Kluyveromyces lactis: one gene and its partner. The protein of the gene in region 1 binds, or shares a complex with, the protein of each later gene. Links are inferred from orthologs where the notes say so. Each region holds a gene or a part of one and is shown on either strand. Other genes may lie near its edges.

What was found.
Region 2: DAD2 (region 1) and DAD4 share a complex: the UniProt entries of both Saccharomyces cerevisiae proteins name them as parts of the DASH complex. The link is inferred for Kluyveromyces lactis from reciprocal best matches to the Saccharomyces cerevisiae genes DAD2 and DAD4.

The regions. Positions count from the first base shown.
Region 1 is NC_006037.1:700,855-703,053, reverse strand, and holds DAD2 (Dad2p), read right to left. Parts: upstream 1,009-2,199; coding exon 610-1,008; downstream 1-609. Other genes in the region: NUP133 (Nup133p), read left to right, coding at 1-521; SGO1 (Sgo1p), read left to right, coding at 1,545-2,199. UniProt on the Saccharomyces cerevisiae protein: Component of the DASH complex that connects microtubules with kinetochores and couples microtubule depolymerisation to chromosome movement; it is involved in retrieving kinetochores to the spindle poles before their re-orientation on the spindle in early mitosis and allows microtubule depolymerization to pull chromosomes apart and resist detachment during anaphase.
Region 2 is NC_006039.1:1,465,560-1,467,899, forward strand, and holds DAD4 (Dad4p), read right to left. Parts: upstream 869-2,340; coding exon 650-868; downstream 1-649. Other genes in the region: snoRNP complex protein NOP10, read left to right, coding at 255-428; oxysterol-binding protein related protein OSH3, read left to right, coding at 1,424-2,340. UniProt on the Saccharomyces cerevisiae protein: Component of the DASH complex that connects microtubules with kinetochores and couples microtubule depolymerisation to chromosome movement; it is involved in retrieving kinetochores to the spindle poles before their re-orientation on the spindle in early mitosis and allows microtubule depolymerization to pull chromosomes apart and resist detachment during anaphase.

The DNA.
Region 1 (2,199 bases):
GAACTTTGTTCAAATATTTGAGCGATGCTGTGAAGAGGAGAGAATCTCTCTCAGTGCCGCATATGATAGAATTATTCACACTATTAAATCAAGATACTTCTTATGGATTTGCATTGAGTATCCTTGCCATTGATCACACGTTACCCACTGAAGTAAAAAAGTACTGCGAGTACCAGATCTGGAGAAGGTGTCTCTTATCCGATGAAAATGCGGTTAGACAAACTTTAAGGGTCTTTTTCAAGCAGCAGTTCTACCATCAAAGTATCGAACTTCCAATCATCGACAACTTGGCCAATGAGAAATTGATCACTGACTCATACCTGGATGGCATGTACCATGGACTAACCGATCTTAATAAATTAGCTAGCGACGTCAAACGAGAGGTTGCTCTTTTCGCTAATTCGAATTTGGACGTTACGATGTTACAATCCATCATTGGAGAAATCAACGAGGAAACCGGTAACCAATGTGTCATCAATTACGCAACTAACACAATCGAGACAAGTCCCACATCTTTCTAATTCAATAATAGAAGAAGGTGCCACACCAATTAATTGTACATAGTATAAAACCTGTTTATACACCATATGTATATATTCAATAAAAACGTTATTCAACGTCATCTGCAACTTTCACCCGTACCAAAGTTTCCGGAAGCGGAGGTAATTGATCCTGTTGCCGCTGCTGGTTATCTTCTGAACTTTCTGACGCAGCACTTTCATCTTCAGCGCCCTGTTGGTTTCTATGTTCCTCTTTACTGGCCCATTTCCCAGTCTCATAGTCGTTTTCTGTATACTGAAGTAAAGATATCGAAGCCTGAGAGATAGACCGAAGAACCGAGTCCCAATTAGCCATTACGTCTTTAACAGTCACAGCATTGCTATTCATCTGCGCTACCTGAACGCTCAGCTCGTCCAATTGAGCCTTTAATTTCTGTGTCAATGCAGAAACATGCTTCAAATAATTCAATTCTCTTCTCTTAGTCTCGATCTCGGTTTCAAATGCCATACTGACAACTTTTTTTCAGGTGACCCAAACCTCTTACTCTTCAGCTAGAATATATCATCCAACTCGCTCCGAGAAGTGTCTATCTTAGCTGATAATTCTTGGTTCTTCTAGTCTTTGAAAGAATTCACATTGTAGAGATTAGTTCAAAGTCGTGATTTCATATTATTCCGATATTGAAATAAAGGAAGAAAACTCGAGAAAACCGACTTGTATCAGGGGAGATTGATCTATACAAGCTACGCTAAGCATTAACACCGCTATTTAGAATGAACGAAGGGTTGGATAACATCAAATTGCCCATTACATGTCCAACTTACCTCATTTGAATTAAATGTAGTACTAAATATGATCCGGGTAATCTTGTTTTTTTGTGTTTACATCGTAGAACAAAACGTAAACAATGAAAACATTCAAAGCTTTAGATCTCATTCAGCGTTTAAATAACCTGTTCATTGACTGAAAGAAGAGCGATTCCTAAGTCTATAGGGACCCGAATTGACGGCGGATAGTGTTACTAAGTTTTGTGAGAGTGCAACATGAGCGCTTCTTCGCAGTACGATGAATTTCAAGCTATGCTTGAGCAACAAAAGGGAATTTATTTACAGCAGAACAGTCAGCTTGCGAAATATAATTCCAGTCTTATGATGAAAATCACTGATATGGAGACTAAAGTGAGTGAATTGGTGCAAGAGAATGTTTCCTTACGGTCGCGGCTTTCTATGGGTGAATTGCGCTATCGTGAGAAGCTCAATACTGTTTTCCAGACGTTAGAGGACGGAATTGTAGAAAAATTCTTGCAAATGAACCAATTGTTGACCACAGTACGGGAGAGCCAGGGTTTAGAATCAGGTATTCATGATAACCCTCTTAAACCGATTTTGAGAGGCTCGAATGGTATAAGCCCGAGATCTGCGAAGAAAGTGGAGTTTACTGGTGCAAATACCACAACGAAACCAGTTGGGTTTGAGGATCCAATTGCGGAAGATAACCATGAAAATAGCGGGAATAGTCTCGAGCTGAATGATGATGAGGTACGACCTCTGAGAAAGAGGAGGCGTAAGAGTTCACGGAGAGAGTCGTTGTTCATTCCTGCAGATTTCGAGTTTAACGATGAGGACCCGGAACTAGAACTGAATCAACTGCCGATAACTGAGGATGAACCGCCGCCTAGTACTGCAGCCACCTCAGTAC
Region 2 (2,340 bases), on another chromosome or scaffold:
AAGATAATCAAAACACATATCGCTACTTACGTTAGAGAATATATCATCAGATCACATGATACGAACTGGAATATTTCTTTTCCATCAAGTGCATCTGCTAAATTTTCAAAGAGATATAATCAGTTTTTCAACATAGCATTAACTAACTGATCGGTATAGCTCATCGCTTGAAAGAAAGTGTCTTGTTATCCATATATCTAGTTCCTTTTCACTTCCAACCAAAAGCATCTATCACACTCTACCCACTACCCACTATGCATTTGATGTACACTTTGGATGCCCAAGGCAAGAGAATCTATACTTTGAAGAAGATGACTGAGGATAATGAAATTACAAAGTCTGCTCACCCTGCTAGATTCTCTCCAGATGACAAATACTCCAGACAAAGAGTTACTTTGAAGAAGAGATACAACCTTTTGCCAAACTAAGGTCCCTACAAGTTGGAACACAATCCGCAGACAAAATTGCACCGGTTAAAACTCACTGAACATGAACAAAAAAAATTAATCCATTATTATCTGTAAATTAGAATCAGTACGGTCCTGAAACCGACTATAAAAAGGCGTATGTATATACGTACATACTACATCACTTAAGTAACTGCTTTTTTTTTTTAATAAATTCTTCTCGTTAGAATATATGTGAGACCTTACAATGGGTCCTGTTTCTTGGAAGTTGCCTGCAACTGGAAATCAACAGATTCTCTATAGTTCTCACACATTTGTGACATCAGTTCCAAATTCTTATTCTTGGTGTTTACCCTTCGAAGCTCTTGGTTTAGTATCACTACACTCTGGTTCAACCTTTCGACATTGCCAATGATTCTAGCCAGAATATTGCTTTGAACTTTCTCATACGGGTTTTCCATGGTATGTATCACAAATATAACTGATGACGGATAGTTATACACCAGTTTTGTAGCCTCTAGTGCCTGTGTTTTCCTTGTGGTTTACATTTTTGACCGATGTTTTGCATTTGAATACATGTTGGATGCTATTATAAACCTTTTTTTTTTTTTTTTTAAATGATGAAAATTAGTACCTGCCCCAAAGCAGCTTCTCAGTGAAAATGAATTAAAAAAAAGCTTGAGTATAATAAACTAAACCTTTAATTTGAAGTAAACAAGGATCCAAATTTCATCTATAACAGACTTCTAGTGTGCGTTTCGAGCTTTTGGCGGGCATCATATATCAATTTGGTGATAATTGCTGGTAACGGATATTGTCAGTTAAATTTCACCTGTGAATAATTACCATTCTTACTGCGTGCCTATCAGGTGTTTGTTGATCTTTTCCCCTGGTTAATCTCTCTTATTCAGAATTGATTTTTCAGCGAATAACCGACCGATAAAGGTAGATTGGAACGTCTACTTAGTTTCGAGAGTGATTCAATTGTAACTATTAAATTTTTTTCGGCATCAAACATGGATACTATTGACGTTCAAAATAAATCATTTGTTGTGCGTTGGCAGAAAGTTTCTCAAGGTGATATAGTTTCGTTTCGGTTGAAACCTTTGAAAAAATCGATAGGGTTTGGTATATACAGACGGTTTGGTGGATCATCCACGACTGATTTGAGTGAAACAAACCATGGGAGTGTAAAAGCTTCTTCGAATAGTAATACTAATCCGTTAATTCGAATTTCAACCGATGCCAAGCCTAACGTTGCCTTGGCAGATCACGAAAAGGACAAAAACGTGCCGTTGCAAACAAGGTTAGCACAAAGCGGTCTGGAAAAGGTGACCTGGTATGGGACCATTTCTAACAACGATACCGTTGCCGAATCGTTCGAATCAACTTGTGAGAGTTGTTATTACGCGTTCATTTTAGACAATACTACTTCGAAGCAGACTAAGAAAAAATGTTTATTTTCGGTGAGTATCAACCCTAGTGCATCGGCAATGGAAGGTTTGGATGACGATCAGGAATCCGTCATTTCAAACCAAGAGGAAAGCTTTGGTGCCAATGGGACGAATGGCAAGCGACCTTTGAATTATAGCCAAACGTCATTCAAGGATCCATCTTTGTCCTCATTAGCAAAATCGAATTCCAATCCATTTGCGCCATCTCCAGGCCAGACTACTCCAAGCACAATTTCCAACGTGGGTACATCTAACGGACCAAACACTAATTCTCCAGTGCCAATAAAACCACTGAGTCCAAGTTCTACATCCGCGACAGATCACGATTTGAAAAACAGTAAAGGATTCCAAGGATATTTACTAAAAAAGAAGAGAAAGAAGCTACAAGGTTTTACCAAACGGTTCTTTAAACTCGATATAAAATTTGGGATTCTCTCATATTATCTCAACTCTAAATCTCCTGTGTGTCGTGGTGAGAT